2 linked regions of the Rhinolophus ferrumequinum genome follow. The protein of the gene in region 1 purifies or fractionates together with the protein of each later gene. This does not show direct contact. Links are inferred from orthologs where the notes say so. Each region holds a gene or a part of one and is shown on either strand. Other genes may lie near its edges. The genes, in order: MRPS27 and NOA1.

The links.
Region 2: the proteins of MRPS27 (region 1) and NOA1 purify together in Homo sapiens (co-immunoprecipitation; 3 studies listed by BioGRID and IntAct, counting the BioPlex papers as one, with this or other methods). This does not show direct contact. The link is inferred for Rhinolophus ferrumequinum from reciprocal best matches to the Homo sapiens genes MRPS27 and NOA1.

Annotation. Positions count from the first base shown.
Region 1 is NC_046290.1:45,656,793-45,666,522, forward strand, and holds the start of MRPS27 (28S ribosomal protein S27, mitochondrial), read right to left. Parts: upstream 4,162-9,730; 5' UTR 4,160-4,161; coding exon of another isoform or gene 4,128-4,159; coding exon 4,055-4,127; intron 67-4,054; coding exon 1-66. UniProt on the Homo sapiens protein: RNA-binding component of the mitochondrial small ribosomal subunit (mt-SSU) that plays a role in mitochondrial protein synthesis. Stimulates mitochondrial mRNA translation of subunit components of the mitochondrial electron transport chain.
Region 2 is NC_046288.1:18,688,110-18,697,759, reverse strand, and holds the start of NOA1 (nitric oxide-associated protein 1), read left to right. Parts: upstream 1-5,690; 5' UTR 5,691-5,765; coding exon 5,766-6,915; intron 6,916-7,792; coding exon 7,793-7,957; intron 7,958-8,590; coding exon 8,591-8,796; intron 8,797-9,650. Other genes in the region: POLR2B (DNA-directed RNA polymerase II subunit RPB2), read right to left, coding at 105-177, 4,969-4,987. UniProt on the Homo sapiens protein: Involved in regulation of mitochondrial protein translation and respiration. Plays a role in mitochondria-mediated cell death. May act as a scaffolding protein or stabilizer of respiratory chain supercomplexes. Binds GTP.

The sequences.
Region 1 (9,730 bases):
CTTCTTTTTCTCTTGTTTCCCATTTGTGGCTGTCCACATATGCCGCAGAAAGCAGGCATCTTTTACCTGAGGCAAAAGACAATGATATCAACGTGCATGGTTCTACAACAGGTTCTGTTTATCTGTTTTATTAAACACATCTATCATATCTTCCATTTGTTAGATTATTGAAGATCCTAGCATGATACTGTAACCAACATTGCACCGTTAACAATTCAGTGCATGCGCAGTGAGAGCATACGTGCACAACTCAGAGCATACAAGCTCGAACAAGCAGAAGACGTAGAAAACTGAAAATTTTTACAATAATGTTATGGGCAAAACTGTTGGTAATTTTGATCATATAACTTCAGGACTAGGAGCCATTTGTTTCCACTAAATTACAGCCTAGGTGAGCCCTAGAACTCCTTAGCACCGAAAACATTTGCTGAACTGTTGCTCAATGCATTAATCAAATGCTTTATAATCGTTAGTTACTCCTAAAAACATTGCCATCTGACTTAGATCAGCAAATTTACCCTTATTTCACATAAAGTAACCAGTAACATCTTACCCAGCACCCTAGTGGTAAGTAAGAGAAACCTGGTAAACCAAATTTGAGCTAACCCACAAAATAACATAGGTGTATTCCCAGCACCTGGCACAATGACGGGCGTATGGCAATATTCAATAATTATGAGCTTAAGGAATGCATGAGAGACAATGAGTGGCAACTTACTCAAAATTAAACCTTTGTGCTTCAAGTGTCAAAGGACTCTATCCAGAAAGTAAAAGGACCACTCACAGAATGGGAGAAAATATTTGCAAATCATTTATATGATAAGGGACTTGTAACCAGAATACATAAATAACTCTTATTAGTGAAAATTTAAAAAGAGGAGCAATCAACTGAAAAATTGGCAAATGATTTGAACAAATATTTCTCAAAAAGACATATACATACACACAAACATATGCACATACACACAAATGGCCAACAAGTACATGGAAAGATACTTAGTATCATTTGCCATTAGGGAAATGCAAAATACATTGAAATGCTACTCTGTACCCACTCGGACTATAATAAAAAAGAGAGATACTAGCCATTGATATGGAACCCCCACGCATTGCAGGTGAAACTGTAAAATAGTGCAGCCATTTTGGAAAAGTTTGGCAGTTCCTCAAAATATTAACATTGGAGTTGCCATATAACCCAGCAATTCCTCTCCTAGGTAAATACCCAAGAGAAATGAAATCACGTATCCACACAGAAATTTATATACAAATGATCATAGCAATATTATTCATAATAGCTCAAAAATGGAAACAATGCATATACCCATCAACTGATGAATAAACAAAATGTGGTATATTCTTACAATGGAATATTATTTGACAGTAAAATGAAATGAAGTACATATATGTGATATGACATGGGCGGATCTCTAAAACATTATGCTAAGTGAAAAAGAGGCCAGTTACAAAAGATCACATATTATATAATTCTCTTTAAATGTAAAGACCACAGTAGGCAAATCTATAGAGACAGACAGCATATTAGTGGTTGCCTAGATTTGGAGGGTAGGGAGTCAGGAAAGCTAGGGGGAAATTGGAGAGTAACTGTTAAATAGGTTTGTTCTTGAGGTGGTGAAAATGTCCTAAACTGATTGTGGTGATGGCTGGAAGAGGGAGTCAGGTTGGTTAGTGTGATATGTGCAAGACAGAGTGATGTAAGAACTTGATTTGCCCTTGCTCACTTTGAAGATGTTTGAGAAAGGGGTCCATCAACCAAGGAGTGTAGGTGGTCTCTAAAAAATGGAAAAGCCGAGGAAACAGGTTCTCCCTTAGAGATTCTCAAAGGGATCACATCCCTTTCAACACCTTGATTTTAGCACAGTAGGCCCTGTATTGGTCTTTTGGCCTACAGAGAGCTAAGATAATAAATCTGTGTTGTTTTAAGCCACCACATTTATGCTAATTTGGTAACCTTCTTACCCTTCATCCAGGCAGTTTTTGAGGCAACCATATGCTCTATCTCAAATATCTGCTATACAAAGAAACATTTTCTCCATTTAATTCTGAAAAGAATTAAAACCAGAATTTCAGTACAACTAAAAACACTCATGAAAGAGGACTTCCAGAACTGCTTCAGAAAGGGGCAAGAACGATGGACTGTGTGTTCGAAGTGAGGGGGAGTATTTTGTGGGGGATTAATGACAATGTGTCTTTTACTGTAATAAATTTTTTATTTATTTATACATTCATTGTATCTTTTGATCAAACCTCGTGAGTGCCTAACCTAACATCCCCTATATAGTAGGTGCCCAGTAAGTTTCCTTTCTCTAGTCTCTTCATATAGTGAAGTCACTTTTTGGTTCAACTCAATAAAGTTTCCTTGTATCCTCTTGCTCATGTTAAGTTGCCCTTCTTCATTATGAAGTAAGGAGAGTCAATGGTAGCACCAAAGTGTTCCAAATATTGATATATCATGAGTTTGTACAAAGTAGACAATTTTTTCTCTCTTATCCTGCAATGGTTCAAGATGTTTTGATGATTTAAAGTCAAGTTATTATCAGCATTTTCAAAACCCCGAGTGGTTCATAATGTACTATCCTACTTACTTATATTATTTGCCGTATAGCCTCTAATTCCTGATTTCAAAACTCCTTTCATCTATGGTCTAACCCAGTGCTTGCTCAATATAACTTTCTGTAATGATGGAAATGCTCAATCATGAGCTGTCCAATAAATACAGTAGCTACTAGTCACAGGTGTCTACTGAGCTCTTAAAATGTAGCTAGTACAACTAAGAAACAGAATTTTAAATTTTATTTAATTTTAAGTAATTTAATTAGCCATATGTAGCTAGTAGTTACCACAATGGGGGTAGCACAGGTGTATAACCTACAAGTTCACCAGTTCAAACTAAGACCAAAATACTAACTGGAAATTCTCTCAATTCCCCCTTATCTAATTTCCATTCCCTTGTTAGAATGATTGCCCCCAAACATTCTAAGCAACCAAGATACCCTCCCTGACAAACAATCTAAGGTCTTGTTTAAATTGAAAAGCATTCACTAACAACCATAACTACACATAGCTGTAAACAGCTACAACAGTTAATTCTTACTGACGTGCCAGGTATTGAGCATACACCACTTTACCTAATGTGTGGCATTAAATATTTTCACCAGGTAGGTCAACCAGTTTGGTCAACCAGTTTAATCCTCAGAAAACTTCTGGTGGCCAAATCTGAGGTTTCACGTTAATATTTAATTGCTGTTCCTAAAAAAGTGTGAGCCAGAGAGTGTGTGTGTTACTTTTTTATAGGGGCTCGAGGAGGTAAGTAGAAAAGAGGAGATGATAGGCATTGGAAACATGGATTGTAATTATTGCATTTTAATCATATAACTTGTCAGGATTAAGCTTCTGGAAATGTTAAAAAGATTTCCAATGTCTTTAGCAGCAGATCCATTAAACAAATAGGTTTTGAGTGGGCTGCCATTCACTCAGGTATCAAAGTACTTTTTAGAAGTAACTATATTAGCATTTATTGTCTATACATGGAAAACTGTAGCAAAGAAAGGTCAATCAAAACTTGTGCCCAATGTCATCAGGAACAGTAAGATCAGTATACTGAAAAATGCTTCCACCAACTGAAGACTAGGGGTCTGGCCAGGTGTGAGGTGGTTTATAACGCCGCTCCAAGGAAACCTCAGCAGAGAGGAAAATGCATAGCCCCAGGGGTGGACATACTCGGACTTTTCACGGTCCGCAAAAAGACAATCACCCATAACGCACAAACTCAGCAAATCATAGGCAAAAGCGTTCATGCCTTGACTTTTTCTGCTGTTTCCATCTTTGGATGGGCAGACACATTATTTTACCGAAGGAAATGGGTCAGAGACCCTACCTCCCCTTTCTGGGCTACCAAATACTCCAAATCATTTCTCCAGCAACTAGATTCCAGAAGCATTTCTTCTCCTCTTGAAAGCCCACCTCTCCCTTCACTCAAGGAACCTAGTTCTCAGGGACCTAAAGAAGCAGCCCCATGAAGGCAGCAGCCACCAACCTGCCAGGGAATGCTGAGGCAGAAGTACTTTCCGCGCCAGGAGGATCCCGCATCGCACCATGGGGGCCGCCATCTTGGAGCATACCAAGGAGAAAGCCGGTCCGGGGCTGTTGAGGGCGGGGCCCAGTCGAGCCGACGCTCCTCCCCCCTCCCGGTTCCGGCAGTTGGTGCGGCCCGGGACGGCATGGCAGCTGCTTTTCGGCCCCCGAAGCAAGCCCTGCTGCATGCGCTGCGGAGTTTGGTGTATCCTGGGGTGGGAGGCTCAGGCTCCCCCTGCTGCCGCTGCCCTGTCGGAGGTATCCGCGGCCTCGGGCCGTGAAGGAGGGGAGGGATGGGACAGAAGGGGCCTCACCTCAGCGCACATCACTTTGGAGAAATAACAGCGCCTCAGTTATTTACGGGCCTGGGGCAGCTGAGCGTGCCCTCGCCGTCTGGCTGTGCATGGCTGCAGCGGTGGCTCCTGGCTGTCGTGGACGCCGGTGTGCCTGGGAACCATAGGACAGCCGGGCTGGGGTCTTGACCTTGGGGCCGTAGCACTCCCTCGGATGGGGCTACGTTGCTCTCCGGAAACCCCTCTTCCCTCTTGGTTGTACTGAGATTGGGAGCCGAGGTGTTAGCTAACAATCTGAAAGGCTTGGAGCAGGTTTCTTGATTTGTAAAATTTTCCCTTAATATCTTCATGAAAATGATTTAATTTGAAAATCCTGGTGAGTGATAATAAAATATTTAATACTTTGTATCAGTGCATTTTACATACACTCATTCCTTCTCACAAGACCCAGTAATAGAGGTACCATTCTTTTCTCCATTTATATAGGAGGGAACAGCAAGTCGAACTAATCTGCCCAAGGTCCGAGGGAACTGGTAGGGTTGGGATTTGAACACAGGCAGCCACACAGAAGAGTCCAGATGTAACCACTTCTCTGGACTGCCTTTTCACAAATAAGCAGCAACTTTTGTTGTTACCTTGTTATTGCAGTACCCAGAGCTCTTTTAATGGGTGATCCTTTGGCCAAGCTCCATCCACTCCTTGCACAGCCGAGCATCCTAAAGAAATGATGATGTTTTCCAAACACATCTTTTCTGCTAAGTTGGCAGTGATTTCTGATGTGATCTTTGAAGATACTGAGAGTCCACATCTGAGAGGCCACAACACTTCATTTCAAAAATGACAGAACTGGGAATTCCAATGGTCACACTATAGTTTTTCCACTACACGATGCGATTCTTTGTAGGTAAACTAGATATACTTGTTTTGCACTTAATCGATGACCTTTAGTTGGTTTGTTTTTAAATTCCCTTGTTATCCCTTAACCAGATGGTGAATGTCTATTTGTCTTTCAGATCCCAGATTCCTGTCAACCCATCCTCACACACAACCACTAGCTCCTTTCACACACACAAACAAAACTTGTCTTGCTGAGACTTGTATTCTTTGTTAGTTTGGAGATGTTTTTCCCTCTAGGGTGACTTATATTTGTATCTGCCTAGGTGGATTACTTATACTAAGTGAAGATAAAATTAGTTATTAGAAGCTATGAAGCTCTACTCATGTTATTTGCTAAATATAAAACAAAATAATTTTACTCTTTTTCTTTCTCTAATTTTTAGCTAAAAGATATCTACTTACAGATAACATTATGAAATTAAAAGAATTTCAGCATAAGAAGGTGGCTATTGCACATAGTCTTCCTGGCACCAAAGGTAAATTCATTCCTTCTCTCCTGCACATTGAGTTTTTCCCAATACTTCGACTTCTTTATAAACACAGCAAAATTCTGCTCTTTTAATAACTCTTTTTGTGTGTCCCTGCTGACTTTTTCCGCTGTCCTGCTTCTCACTGTCAAGTGTTTAAAGCATCTAATTAACACTTGCTTCTCTTCACTCACAGTCCTGCCTTCAGAAATCAGTCTCCCCTCACTTCTCTGCTAAACATACTGTTACATAATACCACCTGTGGTACAAGAAGCTACGCCTTAGGAGTGAGGGAGAATATATTCATCTCCTATTTAGCAGACCCAGTTTAAATTTTACTTCAGTCTTTTGGAGATATGCAAAGTTTGCAAAATTAGGCCTCCATGTCTATCTGGTTGTTATTTCCAACGGTCATAGTCTTTTTAAGGCGGTGACAGTTGTGCATATGTCCTGAGGCAATTCATATGAGTGCCAATCTACTCCACTGTCAGATTGACACTTATAAAATCCAGTCACCATTTCATATTATAAGCCTCCAAAAGGGTACTGGGCTATATACTACATGTACTAACTCACCCCCTGGTTTCCTAGCTCTTCCATAATTGACTTGACCCTTTCTGAAGTCCCGTGTGATTTCCTATTAATCTAGTCACAGTTCTCCCCTCTCCACCTCCCCCCACCCCAAGTTTATGCTGTTACTCGTGCTAATTCCCATACCTAAAATGCCCCCTCTCCTCAGTTTCTCCAACCCTATCCCGCCGTTTCCTTCCTCTCTGGTAACATCTCCACTCCCCCAAACCAGGTCTGTTCCTGCCACCCTGATTTCTCTCTTCTCTCCTATTACATTTATAATCAGTCATGCGTCACCACCATTGTCAGATAACTTTGTATGAATATATCTTGTCTTCTTGAATAGAATTTGCCCTTCCAGGGCGGGAGCCATACCTCTGTGTATGCATATATGATAAGCACTTAAATCTTGATTGATTTATTAAAATACAAATTACAGTTGTTGAAATTTGGGGTTCTTAAGGTTTATTAAGAAGAATTAAGAAGTACAAGATGTAAAGTCATCCTACTGAAATTTTTTATGTTGGAAATTATTTAGCAATATTTAATAGAATAAATCCTCTTAAATCTAAGAGTGATTGAAGGAATAAAAAAAATGAGAACAATAATGTCTGTGATTTACTGGCAGTTACTCTTTGCTAGGCCCTGTGCTAAATGCTTTACATACATTATCTCAACCCCATGAGGTAGGTGTCATGATCCTCACTTCACACATGGGAATCAGGTCTCAATGACAAGAGTCTGCATGCAGGTGGCAGAGCCTAGATTTCAGCCCAGGTCCTTCTATCTCTAAAACCTTTAACCTTTAACCAAATCAAGATTGGAGGACCCACTACATTATCTCACAACCAACCTAGTGGGCTTTCTTTTCTCATAAATCAAGGGCAGTGTCTGTTTCAGCTTCCAGATCTTATGTTTTTAATGTATATCGTGCCACTCCTTTAAACAGCATTCCTTCAAAGCTCCGGGCCTTGGAGCAAATCCTGTAAATTTTGTTTTTGGCAGCTTCTGATACTGAGAACAGCCTTGCCTTCTGGAAAGCAGCTGCTTACTTCGTGCCTGCCTTGCATCTCACCCCACATTCTGGGGAGAGTACAGTCCCTTCCGAATGCCAAGAAACAGTGCTTTCCTTTTGGTGTGTGACTGTTCTCCCCGTCCCCACGCTGGTTGATCAGGTGCAAGACAAGGGACAGAGGCAGATTATGATCACCTTGAAATGATTCTTATTAAAAAGGGACCTTTTTTTTTTTTTCTGACCTTTTTTTTTTTTTTTTTAATTTATTGGGGTGACAATTGTTAGTAGAATTACATAGATTTCAGTTGTGCAATTCTGTATCACATCATCCATAAATCACACTGTGTGTTCACCACCCAGAGTCAGCTCCCCTTCCATCACCATACATTTGATCCCCCTCACCCTCATCCCCCACCCCCAACCCCTTTACCTTCTGGTAACCACCAAATTACGTTCCCCAGATTAATTTTCAAACCCGTGGCCATCCTGTGGTCACCGACTGCCCTCCAATCCCCTCACCCTCCCCCTCACCCCCCACCCCTCCCGCCCATCTAGCAACCCTCAGTTTTTCCTCATTGTCTCCAAAACTGTTTCTGATTAGTTCATTCACTTATTCTTTTCTTTAGAATCCGCAAATAAGTGAGATCATATGGTACTTATCTTTCTCTGTCTGACTTATTTCACTTAACATAATGTTCTCTAGATCCATCCATGTTGTTGCAAATGGTAAGATTTCTTTCTTCTTTATGGCTGCATAATACTCCATTGTTTTTTTTTTTTTTACACTCTATGCATTATGTAATCCTATGGCGTGCTTTCTAACAACTGAGTAGAGAGGCACAAAGAGGAATGAGAGGTAAAGTTGAACCAAATGAAAGAGACCCGCAGTATTCCTGAATCGTGTGTCAACCACTATGGGTAAAAGTATCGTCAGCTCACATTTTTCTTTCCGTTTTCCACCTAGATGCCCTGATAATTGATAGTTTGGATATCTCAGTTACATTTTCTTTCTTTTTTTCCTCCCCTCGTGGGTCACCTGTAAATACAGTTCTTTGGGCTAAAACTCTTGGATATTAGTTCTTAAACTTCAGTGTGCATGAGGATCACCCAGGTAGTCACAAATGCATATTCTTGCGCTCCTATCCTCAGAGATTCTGGTTAGAAAGTCAGGAGTGGGGCCTGGGCTTGTGCCCCTGTGACACACACGCTTTGCTTTATGCACCGTCTCTGACACTGCTCTCGAGGAGACCAGCCTGGGATGGGAGGCTGCATAGGCCCCTTTGCAACATGCCGAGTTCTGGCTTCCCCTTCGCCCTGAGGCCAGACTCTGACAGTCCGGTCAGCCTTAGCGATGTCCACCACCCCGTGCTTTCTTCCAGAAACCTATTTGAGAAAGTTGGAAGAGAAATTGACCCAGAACAAGCTCATCTTGAAGGAGGAATTGAGAACCGTGCTTCATTTGTGTGAGTCCCGGGATGATGTGGAACTGGTTAAAAATGTCATTTACAGGTGAGGCATTTCCTTAGAATTCTGTCAGCCTTTGTCTCTTCTCACTTTGTTCCTTTTCCTGAGCAGTCTCATCTACTTCCAAGATTTCAGCCATCACCTATACACTGATGATTTCCAAATCTGTCATTCAGATGCCTGTCCTGAGCTCCAGACATTTAAATTCATTCATTTAGCAAACACTTATTGGGTTCCTATTACATGCCAAGTGCTGAGGATAGAAAAACAGATGATTCATGCCCCAAGAAATTCATGCCCCAGCCTGTTTACTGACTCCACTTATATGTCCCCTAGGTCTTCACATTCAACTTATATAAATTTCTTTCTCTCTCTGTTTCCTGTTGTACTGACCAGTCACTCAGGATGGATACGGAGGAACCTCTTTCTTTCTCCTAGTCTCATATGCTCTCCCTGACAGGGTAAGAAATCCGACTGCTTCTTCTGCCCCAGTAGACCTCTGTCCCCATTTCTCAGTGTCTTAGTTCAGGTCTCGACGTCTCTCACTTGGACTCCTAACTAGTCTTCCTCCTCCAAGCTTATGTCTGTTATGTTGCATTGTCTCTGATCCATTACTAGAATTTCCTATGTCAGAAGGAACTCACATGAAATCAGTCAGCTGTTAGGTGAGACCCAGCAAAGGTTCCGCTTACTCGGGAGCAAATCAATAGGCTGCATTTCTGAAATTAAGTCAGTTGCTTCTTTTTACCATTCTTTAAATACATATTTCTATACACAGACCTGCATTTATATTGCATACTTATAGAGAGAAATACAAGGTATTAATATATAGAATACTAGAAGAATATATACCAAAAGTTAACCATGGTTCTCTGGGAATTACACATTGTATATTTTTTATTTGTCTAAGTGTGTACTTTTTTTATTTCTCC
Region 2 (9,650 bases), on another chromosome or scaffold:
AATGAGAAATTAGCTCTCCTGTAGCATATTCACATAGAACATCTACAATAAGCAGAAAATCCCTGTGCCTTTTAAAACTTATTCAGTTTAGTCTAAATAGTTACCTGATTACAATCCAGCACGCTTCTTGCCACAAATCTGGGGTGATTTCATCATCATCCTCATCATATTGCATATCTACAAAAAACAAAAATATTGTATATTCATTTGTAATAAAATGCTATTGGTTAAGATCTTACTTCTATGATTTGAAGTATTAAAAACACAGTTAATTTCTGCTAAATAAAAAGCAATCCTTTTACTTCAATTTCTAAAATTTCAGTCAATTACATTAATTAGATTGTAATGAAATAATACACACAGGTATGCATCTATGTATACATAGGTCTACATCACATAGGTATTCTTCCAATATACAAAGAGGCCTCATTACAAAGGTTCAGCTTTAAGTTGTGTGAATCTGTTAGTTTTCCATCTTCTCCAGAAAATCCATGTAATTCTCATGAATAGCGAATTATAATGATAACTAGGAGCAAGCTCCCAGTTCTCTGCTCAATAAGCTCCTCAGAGTCTGGAGTCAGAAATTAGGGTAAGGCGTAGAGACAGAAAAAGGTTCATACAGCTAAGCAATACCTTAAAGTGGGTGGTCCATTACAGTACAATTTCATACATGTATAGGTACGACAGACTGTATTTTCCAAAGATGGCCAAACCGTATTTTCCATTTCACAAGCTTTTTTAGTGTGATCTGGACATTCTTACCATCAAGATATAGGGCTCTATGTTTCCTCCCTTTGAATCTAGATGGGTTTTTGATCCTCCCATAACTAACGGAACGCAGCTAAAGAGACGTTACGTGACTTTTTGCTGTTGTTCTTACGTGACTTTTTGTTGTTAGGTCCCGAAAGGCAATGTTGTTCTACTTTGTTTGCTGAAACACGTGCTTCTGGAGCCCCAAACTGCCATTAAGAAGTGTTACTCCTCTAAGACTGGTGAGGAAGCCCAAAGCACGTGGAGAGGCCACTTACAGATGTTCCAGTCCAATCCTCGTCCTTGAGTTCTCCGAGGCTACGTGCCAGGCACGTTAGGGAACACTCCAGATCACCCAGTGCCCAGTTAGCAACACTGAGCCGTTGAGTCTGCCCAGCTGAACTACTGACATGGAGCAGACAAGTCATTCCTACTATGCTCTGTCCAAATTCCTGATCACTTAAATCCATTAAAATAGGAATTTTTAGGCAGCCAAATTCTGGGGCAGTTATGCAGCAACAGTTTGAACAATGGGCATTTGAAAAATCAGCGCACACTGAACCTCTAATATTAGTCTCATCTCCTAATGTAAAAGAATAAGTGTGCTGTATTTGATTTGCTTTTATATTCTGACCTATATATAGTCTATAAAACTTAACAGTTTTGGATTCAAAATCTGTTACATACCCAAAATAAATTATTTAATAAATGTTTCTTGAATAGCCTGGAATTATTGATCCCTACACATGGGGGAGGGGTAAGAAAGACAAAAGTATCTAAAATAGCTCAGAGATATCTAGCTTTGATGACAGATTAAGAGGTTAATATCCCAGCCACACAGGAAAAGCAAGTAAGAAGGTAGGAAAAGGAAAGAAATGAGGTCAGCTTTAGGTATATTTACAGAACATTTATCCCTTTAAATACTTACAGTAGGCAACTGGATATAAATATAAAACTCAAACAAGGCGTCTAAATTACAAAAAGAGTTGAGAATCCTTACCATGTGGTTGGTAAATACGAAAAGTTTACAGAGAAGGAAAACTGAAGGCAAGATATTAGAGAACACCCCTATTAAAGTCATGTGAAAGAAAATGAACCCATGAAGGTTGTTACTCATTTATTCATTCATCCATTTTAAAATATTTATTGAATGTGTTTACTACGTCCCAGGCATTGGCGACACCATCTTCAACAAGATAAAAGACGGCTGCATCCTCAAGGAGATTATCACCAAATGGGGAGACACAGACAAGATGAAGTCAATTAAGAGTATGAACAGTGACATGGAGTCTTAACCAGGACCTGAGGGTAGGGAAGACTTCCCAAAAGCTAAGCTAAGCAGAGATCTCGTGTATGAATAAATAAGACTAAATCAGGCAAAAGGAGGGGTTGAGAATGGGAGGGGTAGAGAAGTATTCAAAAAAAAAGACAGAAAAAGTATTCCAGAAAAAAACAACCTGTGCAAAAGACTCCACAATAAAAGATATTCAAGGAGTGAAAGAAGGCCAATGTAGCTGAAGCACAGAGCGTGCAGCTGGGAGTAGTAAAAGAGCTTGGTCTTTACCAATAGAGCTTTGCGGAACCAGTCTAAGATTTTAGCAAGGCTGTAGCTAGATCAGATTTTCATTTCTGAAAAATCACTATGGCCACAGAGTGGAGAGTGGATTGAGAGGCAAGAAAACCTTAAGTACACACACCACTTAGGAGTCTGGAGAAATAAGCTGGGCAAGGAGACAAAGTAGTGACTAGATCTGACATGTTTAGGAGATAGAACCCCCAGGGCTTGATGACTCACTAGGTATAGGGGTGAAGAAGAAGAATCAAGAATCATGCCCTGGATTCTGATTTCAACAACAGAGGAGGGTGATACCATTCACTGAGATGGAGAACACAAAAGGAAGCAGCTTTGGAAGGGGGATGAGGAAAGGAAAATGACCAATTTGAATAATGACAAGTTTGAAGGGCCTGAGAGACATCCATGTGAAACTGTCTAGTGGCAGTTAGACATACAAAACATCTGGACTGGAAATATATTTTCAGAAGTCGTTCACATAAAATGGTAAATGAAGCCATGGAGAATGGATGAAATCATCCAGGAAGAATGTGAACAGAAAAGGATAAAAAGGAAAGTCACAACATAGGTAAGAGCCATTAAGTCAGAGTGATCTGGCAAAAGAAAGGAGTTCCAGAAGGAAGTCATCAACAATATTGAATACCACTGGGTCTGGATAAAGTTTAAAAATGCCCACCTGATTTACCAACTGAGAAGTCACTGATATTCTTATTAAAAGCTGTTTTAATGTAGTGGCATGAGCAGAATTAGATTGCAGTGCGTTGAGGAGAACCTGAAAGGTGGGGGTTGAATCAAGGACAGCCTATTCTTTTTAGAAGCTTGCTGTGAAATGTGGAAAGCTTTGCCTTCCAAAGGCAAAATATTGGGAAAAAAGGAAACAATAAAGAGTTTAACTTATTTTCTTATGGACAAAAGAGATCTAATAATTCACATAGAAAGAAGCCAACTGAAAAGGAGTGTCTGAAAACTGACAAATCTAATAAAAGATACAAAGGACACAGGCAGGAATGTAAACTCAAAGCTGAAGAAGACTTTTATCAAGAGGATGACTTGTAACTCTTTTTTCCACAGAATTATTTATTAACATGGCGAATGAGAGGATAAAGCACAACAATCACTATCATGGTCACTTGGCACCATCTGGTCACTTAGCAAAATGTTAAACATGTATATCATTTGACCTGACATTTCTACATCTAGAAATTATCCTACAGACATACTTGTACTAAACAAAAAAAAGTACAAGATTATTAATTCCAGCACTGTTTGAACCACGGGAAGAAAAAGGGGAAATAACCCAAATGTCCATCAATAAGACACTAAAGTTATGGCATATCCATTCAAACTACGTAGCATTGGGGGGGGGGGAAATGAGAATGCTCTCTATGGATATGAAAATCTCCCAGGTAGATAAATACACACACACACACACACACACACATATACACACATAGACATATATATATATATATATATATATATATATATATATATATATATATAAAACGTAAAAAATAAAAAACACAGAAAAGTGTAAATGTTCCTATGGGTGGGTGGTGGCAACAGAATCCCACTTATTTCCTTGAATGTACATAAAACACTATGGAGTGATAATCTAAGACAAGTGGGTACCTACTATGAAGGGGGTTCACACTGGGAGATGGTGGGCAAGAAAAGAGACCTGACACTAACATTTTTGTATTTTCTGGCTTATGAGACACAGAAATACATTACCTAATCAAAAAATTAAATTAAGAAAAATTTTTTGAATTTCTTTTCCACTCAGAGAGGCGTTAAGGGAATATAGTAATGCTAATACATTTCTAGACTCAAGATGTAATTGACACAGAGTAATTTAAACAGCAGAGTTTAAGCTTTTGTTTTTCTAGTTTCTCCTTGAAGTAGCTGAGGTAATAAGAAATGTGAAGGGTGGCTACGGGCTGGGAGCTAGAAGTAAATGAAGTTTGAAATAGTAGCTGTGGAGAATGGAAAGGGGAGCTTTAAAAATACATAATGAAAATACAGGAGACATGACTAATTCGGCACGTGAAAAGATATATTGGCCCTGTTCAGTAGAACACGTACCATCTAAGAACTATGTTATTTTGTGGGAAAAGGAAATTTAAATGTCCTCTTTTCAGACAATTGCCTTAGATGTATGACAGCATTGAAGGAATGCCAAACTAGACCAACCCCGTCCAACCACACACTGTATTTTTTGTCCCCGGTGTATTTCCAAAGACTAACACAAAGCCTGGCCCAGGTTGACGCTCATAAATTCAATAAATCCACTAATTCTGGCCTTAAGGAAAATGAAAAAAGGAACCCTTCACTGCACACAAAGTCAAAACAACGGAATTTATGTTAGGGTTCTGCACGCTATTCCAATACAGGAAGGAGGTATGATTTATCCAGCAGACAATGGAAGGAACAAGTGCCACTCAGACCGGGAATATTAATGCTACATTCCCTGCACCCTCCACCTCTCGTAATCCCGGCTTCGTCCCCGGCCTGGGGTATGCAGGGAACATGACTGTGGACACTTGTGCAACGGGCTAGGAGGAAGGCCAATCCTCAATTCGTCCAGCTCCCCACGTTTCCCTACTTAGATGGGTCGCCGGGGAGTGTTCTGAGCGGTCACCTACCCTCGTCCGCGTCATACATGTTTGCAAACGGTTCCCGAACTCTAAGCTCTTGAAATCACAGACAGAACGGTGCGCACCAACGACCAGCACCAGGAGCCTGAGACAAAGTAATTTCCGCCGACGGCGTTCCCAGAATACTCTGCGTCTTCCGCCAAAGGCCACCCACAAAGAAGCCAACGTAAGATCTGCGCCTGCGCATATGGTAGGCTAAAGTGGACAAGGGTTAGAATTGCGCACGCGCAAACTGCAGGCCTACGGGTCCGGTGGCTGATTGCGCACACCACTCCTACAGTCTGAAGATCGGTTCCAGCCAATGAAAAGTTTTTGGTCGTTTTTCAATATTGCACAAATAATGACACCTGAAAAAAAGAAATAAGAGACTTAATTAGTAAAAAGTGTTCATTGTGGCCGTCAGCGTATGGCATTCGACGTTGTACTTTTTGCACTTTTAAAGCCGAAAAACAGTGCTTTTTAAAACGTGGCTTATTAAAGGCGGGTTATGCCATTGGTGGCGCATTGAAGAAGGCTGAAAGTGACCAAACCCTCACAAGCTTCTTCTGCCCAACCGGCACACTCTAGGTCTCCGTCCGGTACCTTTGCCACATCTTTGAGCGGGCTCTTAAGCCTTGGGGCTTTCATCGCGAGAATTTACGAGATTAGATGCGGGAGGAGGAGCCGAAAAGTGCCTGACAGTTTTCAGGTAGTTCCGGGCTTAATCTCGGGTTTAATATGCCACATGGGCCCCAGTACGCGTGCGCACAAGTGGCTCCGCCCCTTGGTACAGGGCCGGGTTCCCCATGCTACCTGCACTCCTAACCCGTAGACTGCTGTGCCCCTTGCTGCGGGGTTCGGTTCCCACCGTAGCGTGCCATGGCCTCTGGGATCCGCTCCTCAAGAGAAGATGCGCGGCCGCCCCCTCCTCCCAGCACCTGTCGGGCCTGGGACGTGAGCTTCCTGGTGGCCCGACGGCGACTGGGGGTTACGAAGGCAGGGATGACATGGAGGAGCGTTTTCTGTTCCCCGAGTACGTCCCGGAGCCGGAGCCCGCACCGACCCTAGAAGAGCAGCTGCGCGAGCTGCAGCAGCGGCAGGAGGAGGAGGAGCGACAGAAGCAACAGCGGCAGGAGGAGCGGCGGCTGCAGAAGTTACGGACCAGCCGCCGGGTGCACCCGGTCGTGGGGCACCCGGACCCGACGGTGCCGCGGAGCGGCCTGAATTGCTCGGGCTGCGGGGCGGAGCTGCATTGCCAGGACCCTGCCGTGCCCGGCTACCTGCCCAGTGAGAAGTTTCTTAGCGCGGCAGCGCAGGCCGACGGCGGGCTGGCGCGGACCGTGTGCCAGCGCTGCTGGCTGCTGGTGCATCACCGGCGCGCCCTGCGCCTGCAGGTGAGCCGCGAGCAATACCTGGAGTTGGTGAGCGCCGCTCTGCGGCGGCCCGGACCCGCCCTGGTGCTGTACATGGTGGACCTGCTCGATCTGCCCGACGCCCTGCTGCCCGACTTGCCCGCGCTGGTAGGCCCCAAGCAGCTGATCGTGCTGGGAAACAAGGTGGACCTGCTTCCCCAGGACGCTCCCGGCTACCTACAGCGGCTCCGGGAGCGGCTGTGGGACGACTGTGCCCGCGCCGGGCTCCTGCGGCTCCCTGGCCACTTAGGGCCACAGCACCCCGGCGGGGACGGGCCACCGGACGGGCAGAAGAATTGGAACGCTTCCACCGGGTCCCGCACCGTGCTCAGGGACGTGCGGCTCATCAGCGCCAAGACTGGCTATGGAGTGGAAGAATTGATCTCTGCGCTTCAGCGCTCCTGGCGCTACCGCGGCGACGTCTACCTGGTTGGCGCCACCAACGCTGGCAAGTCCACTCTCTTCAACACGCTCCTGGAGTCGGATTACTGCATCGCCAAGGGCGCTGAGGCAATCGACAGAGCTACCATCTCCCCTTGGCCTGGTGAGCCTTAGGATGCCTGCCCCTTAAAGCCACCAGGGAGTGTCTGGATCCTTCCCTGTAAAAATTCTCTCCCTACTTTGGTCACACCTCTCTTCTGTGTCAGCTTAGTGCTTGAAAAGTTAGTATATGTCATAGTAACTTCCTGATAGAAATATTTGTGTTTCTATCATAGTAACTTCCTGATAGAAATATTTACTTCTATCTTTCGGTCACTGTTCTAGGCACTGGAGATAAACCAGAGAACAAAGCAAAGTTCCTGCTTTCTTGGAGGTTTCTCTTGTGGCTTTACTTTGTATGTTTCCCAGAAAAACCCTTTGACTTTCTAAACCTCCCTTTACCCCTCAATCTTACTCTTCATATCTTGAGTTCATGATATCAGTTTGCCACACATGTTTAACATTTAAATAGTTCACTAATGCAATATGATGTATGGCTTTAGAAGACGTCAATTTTGTGGCTTCAGGGAACTTCTGTGACTGGGAAATGGGTCCATCTATGACCCTGTTTGTATTTAATAGTTGGCAAAATTAATGGCATTATTTGTTCCTTTGAAACCAGTGTTTGATTTTGCTTGGTAAGCTGTTCTTTGCTGTCCTAAACTATGAATTATACACAGAAGTACTTTTATATAGTATGGTGAAGATGGAAAGAAATCAGGCCTGCGGGTTTGGGATTCACCTCCAGGTTGAGCCTGTGAGCCATTCTCTGAATCTATTTCCTCATCTGTAAAGTAAGAATAATTTTGTAGAGGGTTGTCATGAAGGTTAAGTGAAATAAATTACAGTGCCCAAGACAGTGTTGCTCCTTGAAAATATTAGCTTTCCTCCCTTTATTCCCTTGTGCAATGTTTATAAAAATGTATTCTTTGATATTTCAGGTACTACATTAAACCTTCTGAAGTTTCCTATTTGCAACCCAACTCCTTACAGAATGTTTGAAAGGCAAAAAAGGCTAAAAAAAAATGCAAATGAAGTTGAAGAAGATCTTAGTCAGCTAGAACAAAATCAACTTACTCTCCTGAAAAAGCATGGTTATGTAGTAGGTAAGCATCTTCTAGAGGAAAACTCTTGGTGGATCTATGCTCAAATTCTTTGTTGAGCAACCTGAAATACAGCTGTCTGAGGCTAGCCAGTTTTTGCTGGGAGAGACTACTTTTCTCGTTCTGGAATATAGAGGCCCTTTAGAGGCAAGGTGGATGTTTGGAAAGCCAGAGTTCACTGTGCTAAGAAAACTGAGACAGTAGATACTTGGAGAAATGCTGGAAAGGAATCATGAAGCAACTGCCCACCTAGCCATTGTCAGCAGAAGAATTTCCACAAAGATGTAGCCTCGCTCCTTGAAGACCAGTACAGGTTGTTGACTCCATGCAGCAGCTCTAAATTAGATGGTCCCCCTTTCATTGGTTATCTCTTTTCAACCTTCATTTACAAATGCAGTTTGACTTCCACCAGTTCTCACCACCCACCTCCCTCTGATATACACAGCCAGCCACACACTTGATGATCACAAGAGTCTGACTCCCACTGACTTAGAAAGAAAAAAGCAAAGCTATCATTGTAGTCTCACTTACATACCCCATATTAGTCTTCGTAACTTGAGTTGAACATGAGAATTACCTGTCTGGAGTCAAAGGCTTTAAAGGAGTGGCTAATAACTTCAATATAACTTATTCTAGGACGAGTTGGAAGAACATTCTTGTATTCAGAAGAACAGAAGGATGAAGCTGCCTTTGAGTTTGATGCTGATTCACTTGCCTTTGACATGGAAAATGAACCTGTGATGGTTGCAGATAAGTCCACCAAACGAGTAGAACTGACCCCACAAGATGTGAAAGATGCCCACTGGTTTTATGACACCCCTGGAATTACAAAAGAAAATTGTGTATGTATTTGATGTTTTTTAGAAACTTTAGATTAACCTTCAATTGTATGAGTACCGTCTTAATTGACAGAACACAGGAAAGGAGGTATACTTTCCTTATAGACTCAGTTCTGATTCATTCATAGCAACAGTTCAGGAATGAATCTGTATGCCATCAAGTTCTGTATTCCATTTGGTGGGCTTCACTGCTGACACCCTACTTACAGTATTGTGGTTGTTACCTTAGTTAGCAAGACATTTACAGAAGCGTAGATTTTGAGGTTGGAAGAAATCATAAATATCACTGCAGTCCGGCCACCTAGTCCATGCTTGAATCCCCTCTATAACATAGCCATCAAGAGGGCGTCCAGCTTGACCTGAAGTGAGGAGTGACTCACTATCAGCTGAAGCAGTGTCACCTTGCCTCCCAAGGTAACCTATTTGATCTCTGACCTGCTCTTTTTGTGGAGCTGAACAGTCTCCCTGTAACGTATGCCCATTGTTCCTCAAGGTGTATGAAATGCATGCCTGTTTCCCTTGCCAGACTTTGAGGTATTTTAAAGTATGATGTCCTGTCTTTTCCTCACTCTCCCATTTTCTTCTCTTTCATTGGCTCATCCAACTTCCTGAGTACTTCCTGTGCTGACAATCCTGATTCTTTGTCATTATTTCCTACCTATAGACATTATTTCCTCCTCTGAGACAGGCTGTTCATCCATCCAGGCACGTTTTCAGAATGGTTTCTAACTTGTTTTTGTCTGACACTAAGAACTGAATTTCTTGTATAAGTGCCCTCAGATGAGCATAACTGAGAATAGTATTATATATCTTTTTAATCCATGGCAGGATCTCCTGGACACTTTTGATTGTATGGT